Astyanax mexicanus: one gene and its partners. The protein of the gene in region 3 interacts with the protein of the main gene of each other region in a biochemical or structural test. Links are inferred from orthologs where the notes say so. Each region holds a gene or a part of one and is shown on either strand. Other genes may lie near its edges. The genes, in order: ago2, cnot1 and trinucleotide repeat-containing gene 6A protein.

Evidence for each region.
Region 1: the proteins of trinucleotide repeat-containing gene 6A protein (region 3) and ago2 form a complex in vitro, tested with the Homo sapiens proteins (2 studies listed by BioGRID). The link is inferred for Astyanax mexicanus from reciprocal best matches to the Homo sapiens genes TNRC6A and AGO2.
Region 2: the proteins of trinucleotide repeat-containing gene 6A protein (region 3) and cnot1 form a complex in vitro, tested with the Homo sapiens proteins (2 studies listed by BioGRID). The link is inferred for Astyanax mexicanus from reciprocal best matches to the Homo sapiens genes TNRC6A and CNOT1.

What each region holds. Positions count from the first base shown.
Region 1 is NC_064410.1:49,161,343-49,171,483, reverse strand, and holds the start of ago2 (protein argonaute-2), read right to left. Parts: upstream 4,019-10,141; 5' UTR 3,614-4,018; coding exon 3,589-3,613; intron 1,198-3,588; coding exon 1,150-1,197; intron 1-1,149. Other genes in the region: homeobox protein Dlx5a, read left to right, coding at 7,727-8,078, 8,696-8,880, 9,723-10,016.
Region 2 is NC_064417.1:4,143,771-4,154,294, forward strand, and holds the start of cnot1 (CCR4-NOT transcription complex subunit 1), read right to left. Parts: upstream 6,168-10,524; 5' UTR 6,033-6,167; exon of another isoform or gene 5,980-6,032; intron 2,458-5,979; 5' UTR 2,263-2,457; coding exon 2,161-2,262; intron 1,794-2,160; coding exon 1,686-1,793; intron 1,018-1,685; coding exon 919-1,017; intron 759-918; coding exon 690-758; intron 598-689; coding exon 543-597; intron 404-542; coding exon 200-403; intron 1-199.
Region 3 is NC_064426.1:13,558,327-13,569,072, reverse strand, and holds the start of trinucleotide repeat-containing gene 6A protein, read right to left. Parts: upstream 5,151-10,746; 5' UTR 4,989-5,150; intron 1,023-4,988; 5' UTR 978-1,022; exon of another isoform or gene 973-977; intron 1-972.

The DNA of each region.
Region 1 (10,141 bases), on a different chromosome or scaffold from region 3:
TTCTTCAAATCTAGCTTTAACAAAATTAGATTGTAAAAAGGAATTATAGTCACTCTAAAAGACTAGAAGCTAATATTTGGTGATAAGCAAAGAATGGCTTTTTCAACTTGAACATTCTGTTAACTGAGTAATAGGGCTGTTGGACTGACAGAAAAATAACACCCCAAATCAATATAGATTATATAAATATTCAAACCTGTCAGAAAAGAAATGTTTTTATCAAAATTTTCTGAGAGTACTGCAAGTAAAAAAAATACATTTTAAGTTTAAAAATAACTATTTTGCATTATGTGCGAAAAATACATAAACAAATTGGTAATACTTTGTTTTGCAACTGTATTGACAGTTTTACTTTAAAATTAAAAGGTTACCTGCAAAAGATTAAGATCTAATAGTTTGTGTGTTTTGTTTAAACCTCAACCACAGTGTTGCTTTCAGATCTCACTGTTTATATCATACCTATTTGACAATGTCCAAAAATAATACGATGAAAAAAAACTCCACATTACACTGTTTGTTGGAAGGAGCATTCAAAACCAAAGAACTGCAGATAAACTTTAATCAGAACGTTCTTTTGGGTTTTAGATCACTAGTTATTCTTCTGCAAGTTACTAAATAATTAACAGTATTTACTAAAACAAACAGCAAACAAACAAAAACATTAAATTCTCCCTTTGCTTTCATATAAATAAAATATTTTTTACCTAAAGCAAACAATACATGGGCTAAAAACAACATACATATTTAGAGTGTTATTCTGCAAGGTTTTCTACAAGATTAATTATTATAGTGCCAAATTTTCATACTAAACAAGTAGGAACATTTCAAAATATTCTAAACACTAAAACAGATTCTACTGTGACACTAACTGATGGCCTGTGATGCGTTGCCTAAACTGTGCTGTGTTGTTCCAAAATTTTAAAACATACAGATATATCAGGCCCACCTTGTCATTGTCTGATGCTCAATATTAAATAACTTATATTTGGATTATAGCACAATTCCCCACAATTGAGTGGGGCGTCACAATTCGCTTATGCCACAGGTATGAACATTTTCTTTATGCAGCAAAGAAAAATACATTTGATTAAACTGAATAAAAAACTGAAATTAGCCTGCACAATGAACCTTTGAGTCATGGTTGCTTACCAGAATCTACTGATCGCGAAGAGGTAAGGCCCTCACACATCTCAGCAACTACCAAAAACAAAATTACATTTTTATATTTTTTATTTACACAGCCCCCCAGACAAACTTGAGATACTGTGGAGTCAATTACACAAGACATTAAACAGGCTTGTGGACATTTCTACAAAATAAGTTTGTGTGACAATGTCATGATCCCCTTATCAGAGAGTCGAATAAGTCTATAGAGTCTAACTTCTAGTGATTCAAATGATTTACAAATGAGTATGTATTAAGTCTAGCCATTTGCACAAGACTATAAATGACTTTTGTTTGTCACAATGATGTGCTTTAGCTGCTAGATTCTCAAAAATGCCTCAACCAAGCTTATCAAAACCAAAAATGTGTCACGTTTCAAAGATAGGAAAGAGCAGGTCCCATCCTGATCTGTGCTGCAGACTCTCTCACCCCTTTATCAACAAGACCACACCAGCGACTTAACAGCCTGGCTGTCTACCCCACCTACACAACAGCACTGGCCCTGTTCCCAACATGCAAGGGCAAAGAAGATATTTGTAGTTACTTTGAATGGGTTTCTCACACTCAGGTTAAGTCTAAGACCAGACTTAATAAGATGTAGAAGTTTAGTCCTAAAAATAATTGGCCTTTGAACTACGCTCACATGTTAGAAGAACTCAAACAAATTCAATTTTGTGTTGACCTGCTACTTACAGTAAAACTAATGTGAGCATAATCAATATGCACCAGTTGAGACAAGAATTGAGGTTGGCTTGTTCTTACATGGGGAAAAAAAACAAATATATTCTTGTATTAACAATTTGTAGACACTAGTGAAACTACAACCAGCTGGACCAGGCTAACCAGCTACCTAATGGGGATCACTGAATCAGCTGTCTGGCGTTAATTCTCCTTACAGATTACCTTTGGTAGAAAAAGATTCAAAATAAATTCTAGTACCTAGCTTGTTTTAACTGTCCAAACAATATTTACTGAAAACTTGTATTTTAATTTGGGGTAGGGCTGGAAGGTTAATTAAAATAATTGACTTGTTTTTGCTCTTAATTAATTTTCTGTGGGATAATCAAGATTGTACATATTTACATATAGAAGCTGCCAGAAGAAATCTTAGCAGATAGACATTTCCTTAACTGACCAAAAAAGACGTTATATTTGAACCATGTTTCATACTAAAACATTTTGAAATTAAAGGTAAAGGAAAAAATAGCTTGTGTATCACTTTAAATTGAAAGATCTAAAATCTAAATAGAGAATCCCTCATATATTTGAAGAATATTGAGAATCATTGTTTCACAAAATCCCCCAGAAATAGTTTGGGGCAAAAACTTTCACCTAAAAACATCAGAACCTCTGCATTAAAATGGTGTACTCGACTGGTGTACTAAGTTAAATACTTCTTAACTAGCTTTACACATCAGGGGTAGAAATGCACAGTAAAAATAAATTAGATTAAGAAATATATAACTAGCTTTACCTGACCATTGAAACTGTAGTTAGCTAGGTTACAGTGAGGAAAGGACACATAGCAAAGCTAGCTAAACCTAACCCTAATTATTATATCTAGTTAACTGGTGCAAACGAGAAGCCATAAACGGTTTTTATATAATTAACTTAGTGTTTCTAACATATATATTTTCCTTTTAATATAAAGCAAGGTGATCTGCTAACACTGTTTACTGATTGGTGTACTACATAACTTACTTCCTAGGTAAGTTAGCTGTACAGATCACATTAGGCAGAAAAGCACAGCAAAATAAAACGTAACCTAATTAGACTAAGAGAGAAATAACCTGTGATAGACCTATTTAACTAGATTAGTAAATCACTAAGCTAGCTTTAACTGACCACTGAAACTATAGTTAGTTAACTAACTACAGCTATCTTAGCTAGGGTTAACTAGTTTAAACTACAGATAACGTAATAAGATAACTTAGCTAAGCTAACTTAATTAGTACAAACGACAAACTACAGTTTGTGTAGTCGGCGTAGCTATGTAAAATTATGTAACGCTATCTCAATCTAGCTAGGTTAGCTAGAAACTTTGTTTGTTAGCTTAGCTTACTTAGCTATCTTAGCTAAGCTAACACCACCACTTGCCAGCCTCGTTAGCTAACCAGTCACAAGCGCAGACAGCGAGCTAGCCTAGCCTAGCTTAGCATTAGCCGTCTAGCTAACAATAACATAGCACGGCCTAGCTCACTAAACAGGCGGATTTATCAGCCAGGAGCTCTCAAACACTACAGATTAATAATTTAATCTATTACAAATGTTTATAATCTAAATCTTCTAAATACCAGGCCACAGATAGGCGGTGTTTTCAGACAGCAGATACAAATCTACAGCCTGTAGTTAGCTAACGCTAGCTATGTGGGTAGGCTTAGCTTTAATTCAGTAGCTTTAGTTAAGCTAGCTTACGATACTCACCCCCAGCTGCTCCGCTCGGATACATTTTGGCGAGTTCTTGTGCTTTTAAACAGACCTCGCCGCTCGCACCGCGCTCACTTTCGCTTCCCGACCGCGGTGAAGTGCATACGAGAACGGGATAGTTAGACTGCGGTGCAAAACGGCTGTTTAATCTCAGATTTCGGAGGATAAAACGCGGTTTTAGGCGAGTGCTGGGCTGAAGTAGCTCCGCGGGTCCCGCTGCCTCCGTCCCTCCTCCTCCCCCATCACCAGCAGCACCACCACCACAACCGCACCATCCGCCTGCCCGCCGCTCCGGTGTTCTGAAAACCCGCGCAAAAACTACACCACAGCGCTTACTAAGAGCTAATAAAATATAGAGAGTAAAAAATTATGTTTTAAATATTAAAATAGCACGTTTATAAAAATGCAAAGCGACCGAAAATTAATAAAAACAAGTAAACACTTGCGCGAAGCTGTGCGTCACTTCCGAGCCTTCAGAGACTCTCTAAAGAGGAGAATACCCACTGAAATATCCTAACCAACAACCTCTTCACTGTTTATCAGCCCACCAGTGGGCGCTCCTGACTGAGCGCTAAATTAATGGGTTCATATGGAGCAATTGAGCAAAATCATAGTTTATAACATTGTATGTTGCTAACTCTGTCTCAGACCCCACTCTTCTGATTGCAGAAAAGTAAAATCTTCTTTTTTTATTATCAGCTTTCGGCAGCTGATGGCAAGCTGCATGACCGGGATTCGAATCAGCGATAATGCCCACTTAATTGAGAACATCTTCAGTTTTTATTGGGCCACCATTGGACAAACCTGACCAAGATCATCTCAAATCTAATAAAATTTATTAAATAGCACTTGTATTTTGAGGTTATCACAGTGAAGGCAGTTAGAAAATTACTAGTTAGAGTTCATGTAAACTTTGATGTTCTTGGTAGTGGGGAGTGAGCTACTACTGTGGTGAGTGACAGGGAAGCCTGACTTCCAGGGACTTCCACCAGTCTGGCCGGACAGGTGACAGGAGACCCTGAGAGTTGAACATCCGTCGGTATCAGGCCGGATAGGTGGGCAGTCAGTAACTCGGAGGAAGGCAGAAAGATGGAATTTATGGAGAAAAGACAATATGCAACATTATCAGAGTGTGGCTAATGGCTGTGTCAGATCTGAGTATAACAGCATGAATAAAGGGAGAGAGCCAGAAGGTAACATAGACACAAAGGCACCCTGAAACAATGGCATCCACCCACCCCACAGTCCACAAACCTGAGTGATCGCATGCAGTGGTCAAGACATCATGAAAGCCAAAATATGCAATCTTATCTAAAGGGAAACATTAATTACCAAAAGCTAAACTAATCAAGTACGTTTTTAGTCTAGACTTAAAGATGGAGAAGGTGTCCCAAACATTTTTGGGAAGATTATTCCAGAGTTAGGGGGTTTTAATGAACAACTAGAGAATTTAATGAACAACTAGAGACCAGCAGTTTGTGATCTGAGTAATCATGATGGTTTCTAATAGGAGATGAGGTCTGGCAAATGGGTTTCTATAGAGCAATTGAGCAAAATCATAGTTTGTAAATGTTTGAACATGTTTACACTGAAAAATGAATTCATTTATTCATCAACACAGACATACATAGAATGTTTCAGCACATTTTTTTTTAAAGTTTTTAAACTCCAGTTATAAACCCTTTAAACGTGCTCTGGTTGTATTTTCACTCTCCAGAATCAGCTTACCAACCAGTCAGCACACAGTATAGTAATGCTAGTGTCTCTTTTGTCCAAAAACAGAAAAATGGAAAAATTGTTTTTTTTTTTTTTTTTTGCGAAATACTTCCACATACTTTCTGAAAGTAAATTAATAACATGGACAAGTAGTTCATTATTATTTTTAATTTAAGTTTAACCGTTTAGCTTCATTTACTCTCATTTATTAAGGACTCCCTCTCAGGCTCCCTCTAGTGGTGTGCGCTCATTTTTTTGCTGTAAAGGTTTTGTACAGGAAGTGGGTAAGCTCTCCATAAAGAGGCTCTGCAACAATTAAATTAGGCTGCAAGCAGAACAGTTTTGTAAGCTTTTAACTCATTATAGTTTGAACCATCTAACCACGTTTAAAACAAACTTACCAATTATTAAATAAAATAAACAAATTACACCCTGCATAGCTGATTTTAACTTTAATAATACATTTATATTTTTTTTAATTATTTTTTTAATAATCTAAACCATGATAGAACAAACAATTGTCCATATACTTTGATTTAAATGTTAAACATATTATTCAAGTAATTAAAATTTAAACTTAGAATATGTATTTGTCTGGTGCATGTAATGCATGGATAGTCCACCAGGGAGCAGCATGTGAAAGCATGTGTCAAAATTATTTTGTTATTTATCTAATTGTTTAATCAGAAATTTATAAAAACACAAAAACACAAAACACTTCTTTCAAAAATTATATTTTATTTGCATTTACTATTAAGTAGTTTTTCTTATTTTAATAAATTTACTATTTTTTTTTACTAATATCTGAAATCATTCACATTAAAAAGTAAAGTAAGAAAGTAACAGTAAAAAAACTGGTAACTCCTTACACTCTGTTAAAAAGTTAAAAATCTTACTAAAGTCATTTCAAATTTAGAAGTCTGTGTGCAGAAAGTATTTATGTATTTTTTTTATTATTATTAATATTATTATTGTTATAATAATAACAATAATAATAATAATAATAATAATTATTATTATTATTATTATTATTATTATTATTATTATTATACATAAAATATTTAAAAGTACAGATTATTATTATTTAAATTATCATTTACACCACCCGCAGCATCCGCAAAGCAACCAGCATTGTGAATGTCCCCACTCATCCCTCACACGAACTGTTCTCCCTCCTGCCTTCGGGAAGGAGGTACCGCAGCATCCGGTCCAGCACGACCAGATTCTGCAACAGCTTCTACCCCCAAGCCATCAGACTCCTCAACTGCAGAGACTGAACTGATGGTTTTTCTGTACATGCACACACACTCTTACCCCACTTACCCCAGAAAATGGAAAGCACTAAAAACCCTACTACCTCACTGGACTCTATTGCACACTGTGTAATAGAGGTAATTACTACCTCACTGGTCTTTTTTGCACACTTTTTGCACACTGCATAATTTGCACACTGTCTTGTTATTTATTATTCTTTGTCTGTATTGTGTTGTATTGTCTGTCTGCACTTTTGTACTGTTGCACTATTGTTCTGTCTACACTGTGTTTATGTGCACCATGGTCCCTGGAGGAACGTTGTTTCGTTTCACTGTGTACTCTGTATATAGCTGAAATGACAATAAAAACCACTTTGACTTTGACTATTATATCTCCACCACGCGGTGGCGCCACTTTACCGTTAGTAAATCAATACTATCTTACTTGGCGTCTGATTTAACAACGTGACTGTATTTATTTTTCTTTTTACATGTAAATCATTTTCTATTAGCTTGTAATCCGTAATGAAGCGCCCTGAGAAATTTAAAACGATGTGGATTCATTAACTAAAAGGGCAACGTGTGTAACAATAAAGAGGCAAATCCGGGCTTTTGATTTAAACTATATTAAGGCTTATATGATGTAAACGTAAAATAATGTGATTGAGCCTGTAAATGTTTTACTGCTTTAAAAAAAATGTGTTTGTGTAGTGTAGGACTGAACGAAAGGGTAGAAACATGTAGATTCATTTATATGTATGCTAAGACTTATTTGAAAAGCGTTTGGTTTGTACTTTACACGCAGCATGGCTCTGTTAATCCTTTTTTTAACGTTAAAAAGAAAGAAAATGTCGTCTCTAGCCCATTGACTGTTTATAAATCCGCTGTATAGTTGCTCCCGTCAGGCCGCAGTGTTTTGCTCAGTGCGTTAGGGAGTAGCTGTAGTGCGCGTCGTGGCCAATGGAGCTGGATCCTCCCTGCAGTGCGTAACGGCGCCCTTCACGATTTAACCAAGTGTTTGCTGCAGGGCTTCCAGCAGTCTTCAGGAGCAGAGCGAGCACACACCATGCGAGTGTAAACTTCAGAGACCTGCACAGAGCTACAGCCGCTGCCTACTGCACACACACATACACACACACATATATATATATTCACTCAAACAAACCATGACTGGAGTATTCGACAGGAGGATTCCCGGTACGAAAGCTACAGATTTCCAGAACGCGTTCCAGCTCTCCGCCATGCACCACCCGCCTCAGGAGTCTCCCACCTTGCCCGAGTCCACCGCCACGGACGCGGGCTACTACAGCCCGGCCGGAGCGCACCACGGCTACTGTTCTCCAAACTCGGGCTCTTATGGGAAACCTCTCAACAGCTACCCGTACCAGTACCACGGAGTCAGTGGATCCGCGGGAAATTACTCTGCCAAATCTTACCCTGACTACGGCTCTTACGGCACTTCAGCTTACCATCAGTACGGAACATATAGCAGAGTGCAGTCACAGCCCAGCCCGCAAGGTAACTATTATTATTATTATTATTATTATTATTATTATTATTATTATTATTATTATTATTATTATTATTATTAATGCTGCTATCACTTGTGTCTGTATTATATTTAACTTATTTAACCTTCGCGTTTTTATCATTATTAAACTAGAGCACTTTTATTTTGGTTCTAATGATTATTTCCTTATAAAATACGTTCATTTTTGTATCTATATATTTTAGCATTTTAATAAATAAAGCTTTGTACGCTGTGTGTTGCTAGGTTTTGTTAGATTCTTTTTTTTTTTTGTTAAATAAAAAATAAATAAGAAACGGGTAAAATTTAAATGGTCGGGCATTAAGATTAAGATTACATATAACGTAGGTAAATAACATCGAATAAACTGACTTTTTAAGTGTAGACACGTATACAGGTATATGTACATTAATTTAATCTATGTAACTTTACTATATGACCCGAATGGAAAGTGTTTACGCAGTGCGCGTTTATCGAGTTGCCTAAACCCTCTCCTTATTTACTCTGTGCGGTTCAGTTGGGTTCTACTCAGTTAGAGTTAAAGAATAGTATTTTTCTTTATTCTCTTCATCACTCATATTCCTCCTCTCTGTGTTTGGTGCGGTAGAAAAAGAGTCGGTGGAGCCGGAGGTGAGGATGGTGAACGGTAAACCGAAGAAAGTGCGGAAGCCCCGGACCATTTACTCCAGTTTCCAGCTCGCCGCGCTGCAGAGGCGCTTCCAGAACACCCAGTATCTGGCGCTGCCCGAGAGAGCCGAGCTGGCCGCTTCTCTGGGCCTCACCCAAACACAGGCACGGAAACTTCCTCTATACTCCTCTACTACATCTCACAACACAGATCTACACATTATTCTTATTCCTCTTATAATTTGTATTATCCATTATTAAATCTGTTTTCATTAAAATAGTTTATCATTATAATTACATTGTTCTTGTTGCTATTTTAGTTGCCTGGTAGTTATGTCCGTCCCTTTTAAGCCGTAATTATTAGATTATTACTGTGTATTTAACTATTACTGGTGCATAAAACTACATTAAATAGCAGTAGTTATTAATTTATAAAATATTAATGTATAATATAGACTAGCGGGATCTTTGCTTATATAGCCTTATTTATATAGTGCAAACAGATATGTTTGTATGTGTTACCTAACAGAAACAATTATTATTATTATTATTATTATTATTATTATTATTATTATTATTATTATTATTATTATTATTATTATTATTATATAATTCATACAGAATACTACAAAACATTGCTATATATTTTAGCACTGTATACGAATATTTAAGAATATACAATATTATGTTATTGTTATTCAGTTTTAGATGTATATATGGTATTACACTTGTATCTTAATATCAGAATATAACAGTTTAAGTATTATACAATGTACTGTTATTAATTAGAGTGTAAAAGTATGAGCATTTATAATGTACCGTTATTATTCTATTCATTTTTATTATTATTATTAATCTAATAAAAAGTACAGATTCTAAATAACATACATCATATTTTGCTGTTATTACAGCCTATGTTACAAATGTTAATGTTTCTGTAGTTTCAGGTATTATAATATGTTATTCGGGCCTATTCCTTGTTCTAACGCGTCTCTTCTCCTCCGCAGGTGAAAATTTGGTTCCAGAACAAAAGGTCGAAGCTGAAGAAGATCATGAAGACAGGAGAGCTGCCCCCGGAGCACAGTCCCAGCTCCAGCGACCCCATGGCATGTAACTCCCCCCAGTCTCCAGCAGTGTGGGACTCTCAGGCCCCTCCAAGACCACCCCACCAGCCCCAAAGCTCCGCGTATCTGGAAACCCCCCCGTCCTGGTACCCCCCTTCTGCCACAGTGAATTCCCACCTTCAGTCTCCCAACTCGTTACAGCACTCACTGGCTCTCGGATCAGGAACGTTGTACTGAGACTCCTCTAAAACCTACTTTGTTGTATCGGACTGATGTTACTCTTCTTTTTTTCTTGAAGAATATGCAAATGTATTTGATTTGACAGTCATAGAAAAAAAACAACAAGCCGTGTATAATGTGTA
Region 2 (10,524 bases), on a different chromosome or scaffold from region 3:
TAAGCTAAAAAACATCCAGTTTTGTGAGATGACCCTTAAAAAAAACAATAAATAAAAAAAAAAACAACAAAAAAATAAACATCTGGGGCAAGATTTACTGCAATTGAAAGTACACTTAAATTTAGGTCCCCAGGAGCTTCAAGTGAACTGAAGGAAAGACACGTTCCTCACATTAGCACAGTGGTGGCGTGTTCAGTACCTCTGCACAGTGTTTTGAGAAAGGCGTCGATCTGCTCCTGCCCGACTCCACTGGAACCCTTTTGCCCAAACAGGAGGTGTGAGAGCAGCAGGTGCAGAGCCTCTATGGCAATGTCCTGGAAGCCACCTTCCTGGCTCCCTCCGAGGTCCGCGTCCACGTATGAGCGCAGAAGGTCTGGCAGCTTCTGTTTCACAAACTGAGCAGCTGCCAGAGTACAGAGAGACAGTTAAAACAAGCTTATGATACCTTCGACCACAATATTAGGGGACTTACCACAAATGTAACACAACGTTTTTGTTTTTTTTTAACATACACTGAAACTGCATCAGATAAGAACGCTTACCGAATCCTCGGAGGTCTGAGTTACTGGAGTTCAGAAGAGCAAGGCCAAAAATTACCTAGTCCAAAAGAGAATGGGTTAATTGACAAGTTCACAAACTAACCAATAATGAAAGTTCAGTATTATAGTGCTTCCTAGTTTTTTACTTACCTCCTGAACCTTGCTTAGCTTGAGAACTTTACTCAGTTGAGGAAACAAGTGCGGTGATGGCTTCAAACTCTGTCAGACAGACGGATGGAAGAGGAGAGAAATTGGGGGAAGTAGGAAGAAAAAGAAAGACAGAAAACAGAAAAAAGAAACAGAAAAAATAAGATTAGGAACTAAATAAAAGTTGACCTTGTGTTTATTTGACATAGCTTTCAAGGCAAACTACACAAACCTTCTGATAGTGCAGAGGATTGTCAATGGCGTAGCAGAGAGTCGAAATAAAATTTGGCTTTGTGATAAGTGACACACACTCCTGGATCAGAAACTGTGTCTAACAGAAGAAAATCGATTAAAGCACAAAAAGCAATACATTTTCTTTAAATGATACACAAGAATCAGTAAAGAGTGAAACAGTCAATAATAACTGTGCTATAATGCATACATTACAGCCTACTGTGGACAAATATGTAACATACAGAAGCACGGAAAGTTAAAATAAAAGATTATACTACAGCTGGTCCTGAGAATGTCAGGAAAATTGTACAAGTTAAATAACTTAAAATATATAAAAATAGATATTTTCAGGCCTAAAGTTTCTTGCAACTCTACAGCATGTTAGCATAAAGGTTTGCAGTATTAATAAGAATAGCAATCTTAGTGTACAATTTCAAATTCCCAAATTAAAGTACATGACATTAAACTGCAAACAATTCAACAAATATTCCCCTAAAGCTTCAATAGTACATATTTTAATTCAGTAAACAATAGAAAATAGAAAATAATAGAAAATAATGCTATTACTACAATATGGGTGTTTTTAATCACTATATTACAATGTTACGACATATACAATACAATTTAATACAACATGTTATAGCCCTACTTAGCAGTAAATCCATGAGCACTGAGTGGAAAGACATTCCTGTACCAATCAAACCAGAAATGAAAGAATAAACATTAAAAAAAAAAATCTAACTAGCAAATAAATAAAAAAGGTACCTGGTGGAAATCTTTCCCACTGCTTTTACCATCGCCACTGAAATCCACATGGGAAAAGAGACAGCGTAATAGATGCCTGTCTGCCTCAGGGCCGTGACGATTCACAATCTGAGATATAGGGAGAGTGAGAGTGTGTTCCATGCCCATCAAGTAAGTGTGACCTTCACAGCCCTAACACTTATTACATCTGTGAATGACATACTGCACTGACTGCGATAAAGTAATCCACAACTGAGATTATTTGGCTTTAACATGTCCCTAAAGCCTTATAGACAAAAAATAAATAAATAAATAAAAAAAAATAAAAAACACAATGGCTGTCTGTAAGATATTGTGATGCTAACAAAACATTAACATTACATGTTTTTGTAAAATATCTTAAAAGATTAAAGCATAAACAGTATAAATTAATGTAGAAAACATGGCTCCATTATTGATCTTCATAATCAACATCAACAGCTTAACAGAAACTCACATGCTGTATTTCTTGCTGGCTGGCTCTGTAGTTTTTCTTAGTTAAATTGTCCACCAGGTAGCTGATTTGAGACAAAGCCAGCGAGAGCGAGTCAAGATTCATTGCTGGTTGGGGCGGAAGCAGGCGGCCGAGCACGGCGCAAAATCACCATTATTCCCCTTTAGTCACTTCGGTGATAGGTTACTTCTGCTCCCCCCCCTCCCCAGGTGTGTAATTGTCCGTGTGTCCAACAAGTGGCTTCTGTCGGTGGATCCTGATTCAAAATACGGTCCCTTACTGCAACTTCAAGAATGACATCTACAAATGAAGAAAAAGAAAGAAATATTAACATCTAGAAAGGGAATGACAGACCTGCAACACGGAAAGAAAGTTTAAAAAATCTTACAAATAATTTTAAAATGGTCCATTTTATAGGTGAACAGCAACTAGATCAAATTACTGAGATACAAAATTGATAAATGTATTTTACGATTATTAAAACAGTAAAATTCCATTAGAATACAGGTGGTAACGTGCTACAAATATCACGCTAATGTCTTTTTTTTGTTTTGCATATTCTTTAACAATGACGATGTCCACAATATGATTAGAAAAGGCAAATTTCCTGACAATTTTTTTTTTACTAGCTTTGTGACTGATCATGCCAGGCCTATAGGTTTCAAAGTATGCATGTACAAAAATCTGAAGTTTATATGCTGACATACTTGGAAGACCTACTCCCACAGCAATTTTACAAGTTAACCTGCAACACTATACGTTTTTGTAGTTTGTAGTTCTGTAGTTACTGTGAGAAGTCAAACTGCTTGTAAACACGTATGCATGTAAACTACTTAATTCACCGCTGCTTAACCTGCCATGGTAAAAAACAGCAATAAAACCTAGTTTCAGTTCTTTGGTTTCTACTAAAACCACAACTTTGGCAGCAGCAGAAGTATAGAGAAAGAGAAACTTAAGGGTGCATGCAGCTGCATACCCGGAAGCCATGGCAATTCTACAGTTAGGTATTGGTCTTTAGATTAGATTGGTCTAGAAAGTACAATTTCAAAAGGAGATAAAGCTACAGTCAACAAGCAACTGTGTAAACACAACTTACTTAATCAGTTATTTTACTTACAATAGAGCGGTTCGTGCGTACAAACACACTCTGGGACACACAGATGCGAGTAGTCATTTACAGTACAAACCAAAACACGGTAAACTCGAACCATTGCTTGTCAACAAGGTGTCTAAACCCTCTTAGCTGTATAGGCAAGGCTATATGTAATAATAACATTATCGAGTTCATTTGGCAAGAAGAGCCCATTAAACATTAATTTCCATTGTTACAAATCTTATATGTCACAACAAATATCTAAATATTTCCTAATTAAAAGTCTGTGGCTGTTTAAAAATAAATGTTTATTTTATCAGTGTTAAGAAATTGTCATACGAATCAAATGTTCAATGATTTATTTTTGGCACAATATTTGTGAAAGACCTACTGTATGAAATTTAGAAGCAAGACCTGCTTTACTATTTACCTCTACATCAATAAAATGTATAAATCCTTTGTCAAAAATCTGTCCAGGAATCAATGAGGCCACTGCTATTCCATTCCTAAGACATCCTTAATGTTTTAGTTACCACTTTATTCCACCTCAAAAACAAGAAATGACTAAAAGGCACCCAATTTCGACAATTTTGGAGAATTTATTGAGAAAGGAGACAACCCAGGTGAATATAGTGTTAAACTGATATGTTAAACCATATCAGTAGTCAATTCATTCATTCCCCAGACTGACTAGCAGATAGCTAAACCTAGCTTGCTTGGTTCCTGCAATCTTAATTTAGTTTATCCACATTTAAAAGATTGTAAAACCACGAGTAAGGAAGTAAATAAACTAAATCTTAGCTTTACAAAATAGTTAGCCATAAGAGGAAAATTCTACTGCAGACTGAAATAAACAGCAGCCAGCTAGCTAGCTTGCAGGCTAACATGCTAAGGTAACAGCTGCATCATCTCCTATAAGGCTAGCTAACGTAGCTACTTAAATATGATGCGTCTAACAATGGTGAATACGCCAAATAAACCTGATTTATTCCGATAATTACAATAACAACATATTTTAAAACCTGCTGCCTGCACATTTTAGTGCTTTTTCCTGCTATTTCAACCGTCAGAACTGACTGGTGGAAGCTAGCTACCATTTTAGCTAGCTAAAATAGAAGATGCATTATCCTGTAATAACCATATACTAAGCGTCCAGTGCTTTCTCAAACACAATCTTCTGGAATCAACCGTTTATTTATTTGTTTAGCCAGATGGTGCTTACAGTCAACCCCAAGAAGTAAATGGTAGCAGCTAGTTAGCAAGTTAACCCAACATGCTAAAGCAGCAGCTGCCTCGTCTTATAATAAATTTAGATTTGTTTTTTTTAACGGCACACGAGTGTTTTTTTACAAAATAAATCTTCTGGAGTCCAGCGTGTCTACATATTTGTGCTTTCCCTGCCCTAATACAACGTTTTCAACTTTAAGAAGAGCTTAGTGGCTGGTCTAGTGGTGAGTAGGAAAACACCAATTTGCGCAAAGTAACGTTACAGTGAATTACTACAATCCACTGATTTAAGCTAGCTAGCTAACTTACCACTTATCAAATAGCTATAGGTTAGCTAATTTGTATGTTTAGCTAGACTAGCACAGCTAAATGTTTATTCATAAAGTGCCTGTCTAGATGATCTAACCTATTTAGCTAGCTAGTTATCTAACCTACTGCCTAACCTGGTTAAAGTTCACGTCAGCCAGAAGACCCTTCTCAACTTCAGAAAAACCTTTGTTTCCAAACTGAGCTAGCCAACCAGCTCTGTTCACCTGCTAAAAAAGCGTCAGAGAACTACAGCTCAAGGCCTCAGTTTCACATCTGTTTATTTTTAATATCCCCGACGAATAATCCATCATATTAAGAGTTTAACAGCTAGCTAATCTCGTTATGTTAGCTAGCCACCTTCTATGGTTATCCTCTGGAGAAACGGAAAACATATCGGTCCACTGCAGACAGGGCCTTCAGCTAGTTAGCTAACCCAGCTAACTAAGCTAGCTAACGCTAAGCTAATGCTGGAGCCTTGAACCATTAAGAGACCATTAGTGCTAGCTAGCAAGCTTGAGAGCATAACATTACTAGCTAGCTTAGCTAGTTAACACACATGCCATGAATGCTGGCTATAGTTTCGCTTGTGTTTTGTTTTTGTAAATTATACGATTTAAAAAAATATTTCAATCACAATTTGAGCAGTTTATTTCGTGTGTAAATGAGTTAAATTATGTTAAAAAGCTCAGAAGTAACTAGATGACTGTAAACCTAAGCTTGTGTTCTGGGCCTCAGCTAGCTTAGCTATCGAAGCTAAGCTAGCTAAATACAGTAAAACTTGAGTAACGTGAATAATGTTATCTAGCTAGTAATTATAATTTTATTATATCTATAAAAAATATCTGATATTTATAAGTTGTGTTCACATTTAAACAGAGTGAAAGACAGCTAACTAAAAGGAGTGATCTGTAGTTAAGTGATAAACACGCTAGAGTTGGTAGGTATTAGCTAGCTAACCGCTAGCCTAGTTCCGTGTATCTGCTGCAGTGCTCTCAGACCGCGATGTTGCGTGAATCCGCCCCCGCCTGCCTCGCTCCGCTGAGCGGCTGTAGAGAAGCAGGCTAGCCGGGCTGACTGCGCGTTGACGGTAGATTAGCACTCGGCTAACACAGCAGCGCCGCACGATAACAAGACTAATCTAACGTCCGCGAGCGGAACCCAAAACGAGAGCAGAGCTGAAACGCGTACGTTACCTCCGTTCACACAAACTACGCGCCGCTGATCGTGTGTATTTTCTCTCTCTTACGTTTCTCGGCTCGGTCTGCTCTGGTGAAAGGTCGCTTTCCTCCCCGGTGCTGTTCGCTTTTTCGAAAATAAAATGGCGACTATCATAGCTCGCGCGCACCCAGCGGCGCTGCTCTTCTTATTAGCGACGTCCTGACTCGCGCACGAATCGGCTCGTTTGAACCGATCTTCGTGAATCAAATACGTAGAGCTGATTCAAAAGCTAACTGTGTTCGGAATGGTTCACTTATTAACACATTCACTATTCACTATTCACTAGATACAATATACAGCTCTGAAAAAATTAAGAGACCACTTACAAATGATGAGTTTCTTTAATTTTACAAAATTGAAAATCTCTGGAATATAATCAAGAGAAAGATGGATGATCACAAGCCATCAAACCAAGCTGAACTGCTTGAATTTTTCCAGGAGTACCAGGAGTAAAGCAGCATAAAGTTATCCAAAAGCAGTGTGTAAGACTGGTGGAGGAGAACATGATGTCAAGCTGCATTAAACTGTGATTAAAAATCACTAAATATTGATTTCTGAACTCTTAAAACTTTATAGGTATGAACTTGTTTTATTTGCATTAATTAAGGTCTAAAAGCTCTGCATCTTTGTTGTTATTTCAGCCATTTTTCCCAAATTCTTAATTGATATGTTGTAATTTAGAGCACTTATTTGCAGAAAATGAGTGCTCTATTTAATGAGTGCTGTATTTCAGAATGCTTGGGGTGTAGTGAAACATGATGTACATGGACGAGTACAAACGTTTGTCGAATAGTCCTGTTCCATTTACCCCAAGCATTCTGAAATACAGCACTTGCTTCAACTTACAATGCTAGCAATAGGGACATAGAATTACCTATGCAAAGAAATCTATATTTTTACACCATTAAGCTCAAAGTCAAAATTTTGACTTGTACTGTATAATAGCATTATGATATAACAATGTAATTACACCCGTTAAAGAGCAGTGCACTTAAAATTAATATAAATATCAGATATTGTGACTGGAATATAAAAAAGTCAAAATATTCTAAATAAATAAAAACTTAATAAAACCAATAAATTAAGTCAATATTTGTGTTAATGAGATCTCCTCCCTAGCTAAATAAATACAATGCCTAATTTGAAGTCACATAAAATTATTAAAGTGAAAATGAAATTGTTGAGACAGGGTCATCTGTGGGGCAGTGGAACTGTTCTCTGGAATAATGGTGCTCATATTCTATTATTATTGTAATATTATTCTTATTACAATTTTTTTGGAATAAGTTTGGGGGTTTGGAGATGGGGTGTGATGGTCAACTTACATTCCTTCATTGAATCATATTTAAAGACAAATTATAAATATGCAGAGTGTTTAATTTAGAGGATAAAGACAGGCTAATAATTTAAAAATAAATGATAATGGTTTTGTTTATTAAGATACAATAACAAAATAACTGGAACGCAGGGGAAAAAACAAAATGAGAAAAAAAGGAAATGTGTGATGATACCATATAGGTTATTACCACATACATATATAACATAAAATATATTTTACATTTTAGATCAATTGATAAGTAAAAATAATCAATAGGTATTGATTTGAGAATCAGTGACTCACTGAATTGAACATTTGATTCATTGAATCAGACAGTTGGAAAGAATCGGTTTAAATCGAACCGAATCACTAGTTCGTATGGTCGTGCCCGATGCGCGCAGCACAACAACCTATCAGATGACGAAAAAATATGACAAACAATTCTGTCAGTTATAGCATTTTATTAAAATATGCATAACTTTTTCAAACAATATTTGCACATAAAAACAGCATAATCATCTATATAGCTGTAACTTGTGTGGGTAAAGTAGGTCATTATTATTATAGAACATTATGAATATTTCTTAAGGTAAAAAAAAATATGGGAATTTATGGGATTATTTGTCCTTTGGTACAAGCAGCATTTGCAATACAGGGAGGCTTTTCACCTTTAATTTAAAACTTTGTAATGCAGTATATCTTAATGCACTTAAAAATAAATTATGAAATATTTTTAGTAGTAGTACAAATTTATACTTAGACCTGAGTGCAAATAATAATAATACACACTCCTAAACACACCTGGGTGCAAAAATCCTGTGCCAAATAATATTCTTTCATCAAACATGGTCTTCAGCAACAGTCCAAATGTCTGAAAACAAAAAAAAAACTCATGCCCATAAAAAAGGGAAGGCTCCAGGACTTTCAGTTTGCAGTTTCTACAGTGTGCATGCAGAAGTTAAGGGGAACTGTGGAAATCTGGAAGCACAAGAACACTGAGAAAGGAGTTTATATGCTGGTAATATCAACAAAACCACCAACTGAGTGACAAGAACCTGCATAGAAGTTTATTTGCACGAAGAGGGTGGAGCACTGTTCTATTGTGCAGTGTTGTTTGTTCAAACATAATCGTATTGAAGAGTCGTAAAAAAATACTAAGCCTGTGACCTCCAAGTCAGTGCTTAAAGTATGTATACCACACAACACAGGTTCATTAGGAAAATGGTAGAAGGCTGTGAAGCATGGGGGTGGATACTTCAAGTTAAGGTTTAGGTTTAGCAAAACTGGCAATATTGCACAGTTAGAGAGAAGAACATTTTTTCTACAGAATACCAGCACGTCCTGGATGCAAATTGTCCCAGAACATGCTATTATTACACAGGTAGATAAACAATCTGTGCAGCAAGATTACTTAATAATACCTTTATAAAGAACAGTTGAAGTTCCCAAATGGCTTTATTTTAGTATCATTTAATATAGCTAAAAAAATAGCAAGCACACAGGATCACAATAAGTTCTCTGTTTTTGCAAGATAACTTGTCAAGAACGATCTTCCCCCCAAAAGTCATTGTTCACAGTTTTAGGCTACGTTTACATTACCAGGCTGAAGTGATTTAAATCAAATTGTTTGCACAATGTGGCTCAGATCAGATTTTTTTCACGGCTGTGTGAACGTATAAATTCCGATTTTTTCAAATCAGATTCATGCGTCTTTTTGCTTTTACACGTTAGCATTAGCGCTACGTGCTTCTCTCTCGTACCCACACATCTCTTGGTGCAGCTGTGCAGCTATAGCTAATAAAACAGCAAAAGCAAACCGCCTGGCCTTTTCTCACCTCCTGGACCTGAGCATGAACTTCAGAGCAGCTGTTTACTCTCCACTCCAGCAAAAGATGCTCCACATATGAGCTGCTAACTCATTATTTAATGTGGCTTGTAATGTGAACGTAGCCTTAAACTAGTTTTTTTTTTTGTCTAGTTAGGAAAATACACATGCTTATAAACAAATAAAAACTAATCTGCATTAGCCATTTCCTCTGGATAAAAACACACATTTCACATTAGTCCTTGCATGAGCACAGCTCTCAGTGCAGAGTGTGCTAAGAAAGGCTTTCGTAAAAGCAAATCCACACTGACCAGAAGGATTTGTTCACTCATAAATCTTTTAATATGTACAGGCCGCATTGTACAGCTGAAATCTCCTATTCAAAAGATCCAATGCAATTTGTAACAGTGTGACGAGAAATATCTGGCACAGAATAAGGTAAAGAAAAAACAAACATTCATAATTCAGAGCATCAAATCTAGGGAAGTACACACTATGACCAACAACACTTCCATTTGGTGTAAAACTGACAGCAAGAAAGGAAAAAAAAAAAAAAAAAAAAGAGAACAGAGAATGCCAAATAAATACTGTACAAGTTAAAGTACTGCATGATACAAGCCCTGCCTGCAGGCCAGTAACATTGTTATGACATGTTATGAAAGTTTGCAGAGATGTTTACCAATGTGGAGCAAAGTAGTGTGTGTGTGTGTGTGTATGTGTGTGTGTGTTACAGCTACATAATTATGTAGGCAGAGCTTGTTTAGTGCAGGATTTATGTAGAAGTTGGCTGATACACACCCCTTAATCAAACAAAACATCATCCCAAAATACATATGCATGATATGCACTTTAGCCTGCATATACATATATGTCAGACAATATAGATATAGCACCATAATAAAATCAGGGTGAGGGTGAGGGTGGAGGATGTTATGAAGGACATGAAGTTAAAGCCCCAGGCAGGTTTTGATGCAACTGGAATTCGACACCATTCTGGACAACCCTGCGAGTCCTGGGTTTTATATCTGAGGTGGTTGAGGCTGCTCTTCAGGATGCAGTCAAACAGGTTCAGGACTATTATAGGAAGGGGTGTTGAGACAAAGACAAGCACTCTGCAGTGGTGGGGATGGGGTGGAGAAACTCTTTCCTTTGTTTAGAAGATAACACCAAAGCTGTATGGAGATAAATTAGTGCAAGCACATTAAACCTCACCAGGCAAACTTCATACAAACACACCAAACAAAATCGTCAGAACGTCAAATCTAACCCTGAACCTGTTGAACAGTCTTCCAAATTAAATAATGTTTGTTTTCCTGCAGTTCCAAGTCCATATAAATAACAGAATATCAAAAGTTTTTTTTTTTTTTTTAAACAGTC
Region 3 (10,746 bases):
ATATTCCGCAAAATATAGGTTTAGTTTCAGCCTCTTACTTACACTGACACGCACACAATGATTTGCTGAGTCATCAAAACAGCACCAAAATACTAAGAAAAGAAAATCTCTCTTTAAAAACAGGTCTAAAGAGACCCCCCCTCCCTCCCTCCCTCCCTCCCTCCTCCCTTTTCCCTTTCTGTGGTGTGTAAGCAGCTCGGTACAAAGAGTGTTTGAGCAGCATCTGTTTATGAAGGCAGAACAATGACCCCGAGAACCCTGTAGAACCTGTGGAGAACATACTGGCTATTCGCTCCCATGTGACCACAGCACTGAAATGGTCAGCACTCGAATCAGAGGTGATCAAAACCAGTAACTGCAGTTTCCTGTGAGCAATAAGTTCCTACAGTGAGCCCTGCAAAGAGATGCTGTAACTGCTGAATATGATCTCGGACTTTACTGATAATCTGGTAAGACTCAGGAATAGTTTGTCAGTTTTCTAACATTGGGGTTCTATCGATGCCATAAACTCCAATCAAAACAGAGCTTATTTTCACAAACTCTTTGTATATTAAAAAAGGTTAATTCAGTAAATAAGGCTTTTTAAATGACATTTGAGCATTTTACCCCAACCAAAGCCACAAGCCTACCATTAACACTTAAGTACTGCATTGAGAAAGTATTTTAATGACTGATGGGCTTCTTTATGAGGCTCAGGTCTAACAGAGCAGAGTCTGAACGTGAACAGAATGATGGTACAAAGAACCTCTCATTTTAATGTTTTAGAACAGCAGAGCTTACTCAGCACTTCCAACTCCTGCTTCAATTCAGATGGAAAGACTCTGCTTACACCAGCAGCTACTGCACCAAGCTGGAAACATCCAGAACTGCACAGACACACACAGACACACACAGACACACACAGACACACACAGACACACACAGACACACACAGACACACACAGACACACACAGACACACACAGACACACACCTTACCGGTGTCACTTCTGTCAAGGTCTTTGGTGGCAACAGCATCCAATTCTGTGAATTAAAGAAAAACCCAATCATTAGTTATAAATCACAACAGAATAACCCATCAAGGCCTTTTATGTTTGGATACTCATGATGGAACACCTTCCGAATCATTTAATACAATTTAAGTACAGTAAAAGAATGTTTTTGTGAAAAAAAAAAGTATCAGTTCAATCAGTCAACATGCCCAGTGTTTGACAATAAGCTTTACGTTGATCAGCTAATGTTGATAACAATGGACATTATTTTATCTACTTAAAGCTACAGAAACAAATATATTAAGAATAGCATAGACCTCAGTCAGCTTATGAACCACTGTCTGTCACCAACCTTTACATGTATCATAATTAAATCAATACTGTGTTTTGGAAAATGAATTCAGTATTGCAAAGCAACATATTGAGAGACAATGTCAATATTTTGTTACGCATCACTGGTTATGTTTACATCAAAGCTTTCCTCCAATCTGAATGAATTCATTCTGATTCTAGAATCTGACTGAGATATTTATATGTACACTTTATTCTGACACAATAGTCTGAATAAACGATTGAGCTATAAGTCTGATTATTAACAGATTATTAGGCTGCATGTAGACATAGCCACTGTGGGTGTAACCTATATTAACTACGTCTGCACCTAACACAAAATAAACAAACATGGCACCCAACCTTTTCAGTTGTGTTCACACTCTTCAGTGTGTCTTTAAGCTAGAGCTCCACAGCATTTTGTTTAATATGGTTGATTTTAAAATATAAAGCATATTTTTAGTTGAAAGACAGTGTTCGCCACATTATAGAAAACCTACAAAGACACATTACCAAGTATGCCTAAGTGTTAATGTGGTATCTAGCCCCACCCTTGATCACCCAATCAGCAATTGGTCAATTAAACTGAAAGATACACAAAAATGACAAATACACAAAACAGTCCATTTCTACTGTATGAAGTCTGAGTGCATATACATTAGCGATACTATATATTACAACACTTTCCAAATCAACAAATGAAGGGGATAAGGCCAGAAATTTTTTTTTACCACACATTTAGCTTTAATATGTTTTCATATTTTAAACCGAGGGATCTATTTTGGGCTTTTATTGTAACTTATCAGAAAACCAAAGATTGTCTGACAAACAGAGGAAACAAGTTGTTAGATGGAAAGTGTAGAACTTTGTTATGACAAGAAGAAATGCTGCAGAACCTGTTCTGACTATTCTACAGCGACCTAATTTAATTTTACTGAAATTAATCCTGTACGGTTAAACCTGCTGTGAAGCATAAATCTTACATAATATATAAAATATATTAAACAGTACATCTCAGTATTCTACTAAAAAGAGAATGCACTAGAAGTCTCAGAAAAACAAAAATTATGACAGCAGATTATATTAACTTTGCTTAATCTGAAAAGCATGCCATGATTAAATATATAAACACTGGTGACATTTAGTATCATTACACATTATTGATTATGTCCCATACTGAAGCAGATGTGATGCTAGTTTACTTAAAATGTGTATCATATTAATTATACTGAACATTGTTGCTGAACCTTTTTTCACAATATTGTGGATCTATTACTGTACAACCAAATATTGTATTGCACAGTGTAATAAGCATTGTTTAAAGCAGCAGTCCTGAAGATTTTACATTGTTTACTTTATTTTATTTTTAAAATGTCTAAGCAGGGGAGATAGCAAAATATAATAAATTGCATCAATCTGCTTTTGCTACCATTTTGGCAATGCCAAATGCATTTATTTTAAAAACAGTGTGTCTGTTAGGTCCCGGGACATTTTTCTGGCTACAAGTCTTAACTTAAGCAAATGCAGTGCTGCTAATAAGGATAATACAAGAGCTCATCATTAGAGAAAATTTATATAGATTAGAACTAAAGCAAGCTGGTGAAATAAAGGAGGGCAACAGACTCCTAACCAATCCAAATCACCAGATTCATCCACTCTGAAAAGGGAATGCACCACAATGCACACTTCAAAAGTACTTTTTAGTATGCAATTAGAAACACACAAAAACTTACAGGTCACATCTTATATATGTTTTATAATAACCACTGTACTATATATAGTTCACGTTCTTGATAGCAGAAATGAAATCCTACTACTGCATGTCAATAACAAGTGTATTGTAAAAAATACATACTGCCAACCTTATTATATTGTTCTTTGGTGGTGATTGTCTAGGATTGGACAGCACTAACAGGCACCAAAGTTAATCAATGGCAGACATGGACATCAGTAAGTGAAGTGTTTAGACAGTGTCTACATGGGAAATACCACATTGATTTTTGTAAAATCATAAAATGAACCAAATTAAACCCCTAAGGTGGTTCAACGCGATTTCATAACCAGGAGTAGGAGAGAAAATCTACAGCTACACCTCCCCCACCACAGACAAACCACGTTAAACCTGCTAACCGCTTACAGTCGCACACAACTACACAACACCCGGCTTCCATCACGAAATAACTGATTTTACTCCTGTTCTCGCAAAAAAAATAAAAAAGTATAATATTGTGGGATGACAGTTTGAATGCTGGAACCCTTACTGTTAGCTCTGCAGTGGACAAGCATTTATTTAAACGTTTTTTTTTAGCTCGCCTAGCTAAACAACACCGAATTATAATTACACATACTCACTCTCCTACATGAAGCTTACATTATACAAGATAGTACGCTTAACTCTACAACCAACACAAAATAGCTAAACTAAAACATGAGGAAAAACACTAAGGGCTTTAGCTCAGAAGCTAATATCAGCTAGCCTAGCTGCTAAGCTAACTACGTAGCTATTTAACATACGACTAAACCTAATAAGCCCACATACTATTTGCCTCAGTATCACATTTATTCGTTTATACTTAGTTAACTATTTATTTATCGGCATGCTTATGTAGATATCTGTGCTGTCAGCTACGTAACGCTAGCTAACCTGCATTAACCAAATAAAATGGCTTTCGGGGTCTGCGAAACTCTGATCTGATCTGTTGAAAACTGAGACCTAGGTTAGGTTAGTCCGCTAAGCTAGCTATTAAACAATGACCTGCTCTGTTTGTTTATAGCTCGTTAACTAGCTTGGAGCCATATATAATTTTATAGATTTAACATCGCTAAGCTAGGTTAGCGGTATAAACATAAGAATCTTTTAACACACTTCGCGTTCTTAAAAGCAAGTTATATAATAAACATATTTACAAAAGTAAGCTAATCAGTTAGCAAGGTTAACTAGTTAGTCAGTATTAAATTTAAGACCACAAAATACAGCCTTAGCAAACAAGATAACCACTTCGCATTTAGAGTCATTATTAAATAACTAGCTAAAGACTTATTTGTATCACTTATAAACTATTGTGTAGCTAGCTTAGATTTGTAACGAGGCAGAAACTCAAAAACATAACTGGCTAACGCTAGCTAGCTAAAGGTTAACGTTAGGTCTATTATTTATAACTCAAATCTTACGCCATTTTGTTCTGTAACATAAGCATGTAGTTGGACGAATATTTAAACTCAAATGTAAGAGCATTATCCAACGAATAATCAATTAGCTTTTTAATATCCAACAGCGTTAGAGGTTACAGCTGGGCTTCGCTTTTATAATTTTTCCGGTCCACCTTAAACGGAAAAGCAGCTCGCTAGCTTCATACGGGCACTTCAGACTATATAGTGTATCAGTGCCGCACCATTTAAGGTGGAACTGAACAACTCTAATAGGAGGTCCAACTTCGGCGTCGTAGTTCTGGCTTTTGAAGCCGCTTGACTAAGACGTTTCTGCAACACGCCGCCCGCAAAACACACATTACCCAAATGCACCGCGCTGTTTATGTTTATCACGGTTTTAACGGTCCCTGTAAACAACAGACGCCACCACGCGCAGCTCCACTCGAGCCCTTCGACTCCGCCGCGCGCTACATTACAGCAAACTGCGCCAAACAGCGAAAAGCGCGTTCAGCCTCACCTGTGTAGATTAAAGTGCGATGAGTAAAGTGTGGTGAAAGGCCTTCAGTGGATCAGCGATGAGTGTATTATTGATCTTTAAACCCGAGCTCGCGCTTAGCTCTCCTGCAGGATCACCGCTCCGCCCGCGCGGACATTTTCTCTCTCACTGCGCGCTCCCGCAGGAAGAGCTCAGCGGCGCGCGCGGCTGCCACTTCCGCTACGAAATGGCGCCACGGCGCAGAGCAGCAGGCGCATATCAGGAACATAAACAAACAAAATCCAGTTCAGCTCAATAATAACAGCTATACAACTAAAAAAACAAACAACTTAACACTAGTGATCTATCTACAGCGGTATGAAAAAGTTTGTGCACCTTCATTTTGATGATTTTCATTTTTAAATCATTGGTGTTCAGATCAGCAATTTCAGTTAAATTCATCATATAGGAGACAAACACAGTGATATTTAAGTTTATAGGATTTACAAAAAAAAATTACAATAATTATTTAAACAAAATAAGGCAGGTGCATACATTTGGGCACCCTTGTTGTTTTAGTGATTTGAATAGCTTTATCTCTAATAATTGAAACACTTGGCCAATTGCAAGTTTTTTTCCTTTTTGCATCTTCTCTGAAAAGTGGAAAAATGGGAGCCTCAAAACAACTCTTAAATGACCTGAAAACAAAGATTGTTCAACATCATGGTTTAGGGGAAGCATACAAAAAGCTCTGTCAGAGATTTCAGCTGTCAGTTACCCCTGTGAGGAACATAGTGAGGAAATGGAAGACCACACGCACAGTTCTAGTTAAGGCCTGAAGTGGCAGACCAAGAAACATCTCAGATAAGCAGAAGGATGTTGAGAATAGTCATAGTCAATCCACAGACCAGCTCCAGAGATTTCATTCTGTGGGGCAGTGTGATCAGTGCAGGTACTGGGAATCTTGTTAAAGTTGAGGGGTGCATTATTCCAGTCAATATCAGCAGATTATTAAGAACAATGTTCACAGATCAGGAACGAAGCTGAAGCTGTGCTGGGGCTGGATACTTCAACTTGACAACGACCCTAAACACTGCTCAAAGTCTATTAAAGCACTCATACAGAGGAACAAGTAGAACTTTTTGGATAACTCAAAGATCTTCAAATTGGATATTTACTGCACGGGTGATTATGTTTCAGCTGACAAGTTATTGAATTCTAACTAATGCAATGAGAAGCTTTTCATTTGTTAAACTCATTTTGTGTCCTTGAAAATATGTTTGTCTGTTTCAGAAGAGTCAAATTATCCGAAAATATTAAATTATGGTAATTGGCGATCACTTTAACTTTGTGGTACAAAAACAATACCAGAGATATGTTTAAAAGTGAAGGTAAGAGCATTTTCACAAGCACAATGTGAAGGGAATTCAAGGGATTGGGGCTAATCAGCTGTGTAGCTTTAAGATAACCACTTACCAGTGAGACTAATCGACAAAAACAACTTCAATTTGCTAAGGAGCATAAAGATTGGAATCTGGAGCGATGGAAGGAGAACATGTGCTTTGAGGAATCATGATTTACCCTGTTCTAGAGTGATGGGTGCATCAGGGTTCGGAAAGAGGTGGCTAAAGTAATGCACCCATCATAGTGCATGTCACAGAATCCAGACCTGAACCTTATTGAGAATTTTTGGGATGTGCCGGAGAAGACTTTGCACAGTGGTCAAAATCTCCCATCATCAATACCAGATCTTGGGGAAAACTATTGTTGTAACATTGCAGAGGTGTGTGGAAAAAATGCGATAGAGTACAGTATGCATACTGTAATTTAATCAAAGCTAAAGGAATCCATGTATTTATTTATCTCAGTCCATCTCTTTGCAAGCTGTTTGTTTTTTTTATTTATAGTGATCAAGCTACATTTCAGCAAATTACAAAAGCAGTATGAATGTTTCAAACAGCATATAGATAAATTCAACAGAGTAAATAAATGGCAGCTCTGAAACAAAATGTGCATTCATACTCTGACTGCTGTGTGAAGCATTTTAGACAAAATTCACTTTTAAAATGATTTCAGAAGCTGTGTATAGATACCCTCTTCTTTAAACAAAAGTTCCCTCAGGTATTTCTGCTCCCAGCTGCCTGTGATGCTGTATCTGTTTGCTTACATCCGTAAATGTGTTTAGCTCTGTGCAGCAGTCTGCTATGAATGCTGGCCAAATAGAAAGAGTTTAGCCGTCTGTGGACTGAGAAAACCCTAAACAAATCAGGAACAATGTAAACACTGTCCGGTCTGCCCGCAGGAATGTGCCTACGCTTTCACTTTGTACACAAAGCACCAGCACACGGGCAAAAACTGACCTGCAGCCTCCACTCTGGGGGCCTTTTAAAGACAGTCATTCTGCCTCATTGGACACTGCACAAACACACGCACACACAAATACACCATACAATTCAAGCTAATTACTGTCAAATATTTCCTTATTGGAAACCCATTTAATATAGTCATTTAGCCTAAACTATACAGCCTACAGTAGCCTACATATACAGCCTTAGCCATTGAACCTATCGCAGATTAGTCCCAGCAATTTGGCCTACAACATTTTATTCCTGTGTGATTAAAGCTCATACTGTAGCACATAAGAGTAGCAGAATAAAATGAACAAGAACATATTTATTTACCACAGAATGTGATAGAGGCGAGTTTTGAAAAGCCCATTCATTTTGCTATAGACAAATACAGCTTAGACACAAACCCCCAAGTGTTGGAAATTCCCTGGGAGCAGGTAAACTACATAGACCATAATTCTTTGCAGCAGGATAAGGCGGGGCTTAGAGGTTAAAATGGCACTGTCGGCCATTTTTTTATTTCTTTGTTTGGCATGGTCTGAGAATTTGAACCTCTTTTGGATTGTGGACTGAGCTTCCAATGGATGTGTGTTTGTGTAAGTTTTCTGATTTATTACTTAATTCATTTATGTTAACTTGTCCAATTTGATTGTGATTGGGTTTATTGTTTGCTCACTTGGTTTGTTGTTCCTTTTGTTGCACTATTTGTATTGTTTTACTGATCCTTGTATTTTGTTTATTTGTAGATAAAACCATCCATCCTGTGTATCCATCCTGTAGATACAACCATCCTGTATAATCTCTCCATTCTCCCTACATCATCTTCCTTCCTCCATCCATCCTTTCCTCAGCCATGCATTAACTGTCCATTCATGCACCTGCTCTGCCTCATTGTGAAATATGCTGTGACTCTGAGAATAAACTGCATCAGTTGAAGTCTGTTCATCCTCCTGTGTTTTAATGGACACACCATCACGCCAGCCACCCTTCCACTAAATGCAATCCAACTAAACTTTACATGGTGCCGAAACCCGGGATTGGCAGTTATGATGGATACAGATCAAGAGAACAGACGATCCACACGGCAGAGAAGGCCTCCAACCCATCTTCAGCAATATCACGTCGAGTCAGTGGGCTTTGGAAAGCCACAGGAACCCTGCACCACTAATCCAAGGCCTTTAGCTACCTATCTTAAACCTGGAGGTAGAGGGATCCCGAATCCTGCCTCAGCACAACAACAATCTGACCTCAAGGAACTACATACTAGGTATGCAGCCTGAAAGAGACAATAAAACTACTTGATCGTATGGGATCCCTGCATATTTGTAACAGGGACTCTGAATCAGTAAATGTTTCTGAAGATTGCATTAGCTCTGATGATGACTTTGATGTTGATTACTCCCAACCTGTACAAAGACCTCACAGTTGTGTAGAATTTCAATGTTCTATACCTGAAGAGAACAGAGCTAGAAGTTCATGTTCAGCCCCATCTAGATTAGCTTTACCCCATCCTGCCTCCCAATCTAGTTCTTTACAGCCTCAGCCTTTGATTGCACCCCAGTCTAGTGTTGTGCCTACTCATAATCCCCAGCCTAGGCCTCAGCCCCTTCAACCTTATCCTGCCTTTCCATCTAGTTCTGTACAGCCTCAGGTTTCCTCTCAGTCTGGTGTTTTTCCTCCTCATATCACTCAGTCTAGCTCCCAGTCCAGCTCCCAGCCTCCTCAGCCTTATCCTGCCTCCCCATCTAGTTATTTACAGTCTCAGCCCCAGGCCCAACTCTATTATCTGTGCATGCAAGATCTCAATCCTGCCCATACTGTAAAAGTCAGGAGCATAGCTTGACATACTGTTCCCAAGTTGGACTACTAAGCCCAAGTAATTTGAAGGAATGGATTAGAAGCAACGGATTATGTTGGCGATGTGCAAAACACCATCAAGCTGAGGAATGTAACCTTAAGAAACCCTGCCCAAAATGTCAGGGTCCACACCTTGGTGTTCTTCATGAAGCAAACAGGAAAACGGATGATTTAGTCCCTCAGCATTCGTCCTCCAAGGTACTCTACCTGAACCCATCAAGCTATTCCCCCAAAGTGCTTCTGAAGATGGTAAAGGTCATTCTGAGTTACAAAGGTCAGTCTTGCCATGCATATGCTCTTCTTGATGATGGTTCAGAACGAACATTGATCTTGTCACAAGCTGTAGACACATTACAACTTGAAGGAACTCCTGAAGTTTTGGAGCTTCACACCATTCGGCAAGGTATTGAACAAATACAAGGCTCATCTGTAACATTCAATATTGCAGCAGCAGATAATCCATCTGAGCAATATGTAATCAAGGGAGCGTTCACATCCTCAAATCTTGCTTTGACTGAGCATAGCTATCCAATGAGCTATTTCAAAAGGTACTACCAACATCTGGAAGATCTTCCCCTGCCAGATTTTGACAATGCCATGCCAATGCTACTCATCGGAGCAGACAACACTTACCTGATAACTGCCATAGAAGAGGTGAGGGCTGGACCCCCTGGAACCCCTGTGGCCATTCACACACGATTGGGATGGACCCTGCAAGGACCAACTTACCTACACAAGGTAAAAAGCAAAGTCCAATGTATGCATGTTTCCACATCTTCCTCTGCTGAACTCATGCACAATGTTGAGAAATTGTGGCAAGTTGATGTCCTGCCCTATCAAAATGAACGAGAGGTCACACGATGTAAACAGGACACACGAGCCCTGGCCATGCTGGAAGAGAAATCTGACAGTCAAAATGGATGGTGTTCAACGTCACTCAACTCCCCTTTTGTGGAAAGATGAAATGCCTACCATTAAATCTGGAAAGGAAGCTGTATTCTCATTGCTTCATAGCACAGAACGAAGACTGCAAAATGATCCATGTTTGACTGCGGTCTATGCCAAAGAGATCACAAGATTAAAAGAAGGTTATATTTCTTTAGTGTCCCCAGAACAAGAAGCTAAGTCCAATGCATCCTGGTACATTCCTCATCATTTAGTAGAACATAACCAAAAATATTGCATTGTTTTCAACTTTTCCTTCTCACAAAGATTACATTCTAAACTCCTTCCAGGACCTATCCTTGGTCCTACATTAATTGGTGTACTCCTCAGATTTCGTGAACATCCTGTTGCAATCAGTGGCGATATCAAGGCAATGTTCCACCAGATCAGACTCCTTCCTGAAGACAGACCATTCACTAGATTTCTCTGGTGTGAGCAGATGACTGAAGCTCCTTCAACCTACGAATGGCAAGTACTACCCTTTGGGACAACCTGCAGTCCTTGTTGTGCTGTTTATACACTCCAAACTCATGTCAGAAACCACCCTCAAGCAGACAAAGACATTGTAGACACAGTCTTGCAGTCTTTCTATGTAGACAATTGTTTGCAGTCCTTGAAAGATTCAAAACAAGCTAAAGAACTCATCGCAA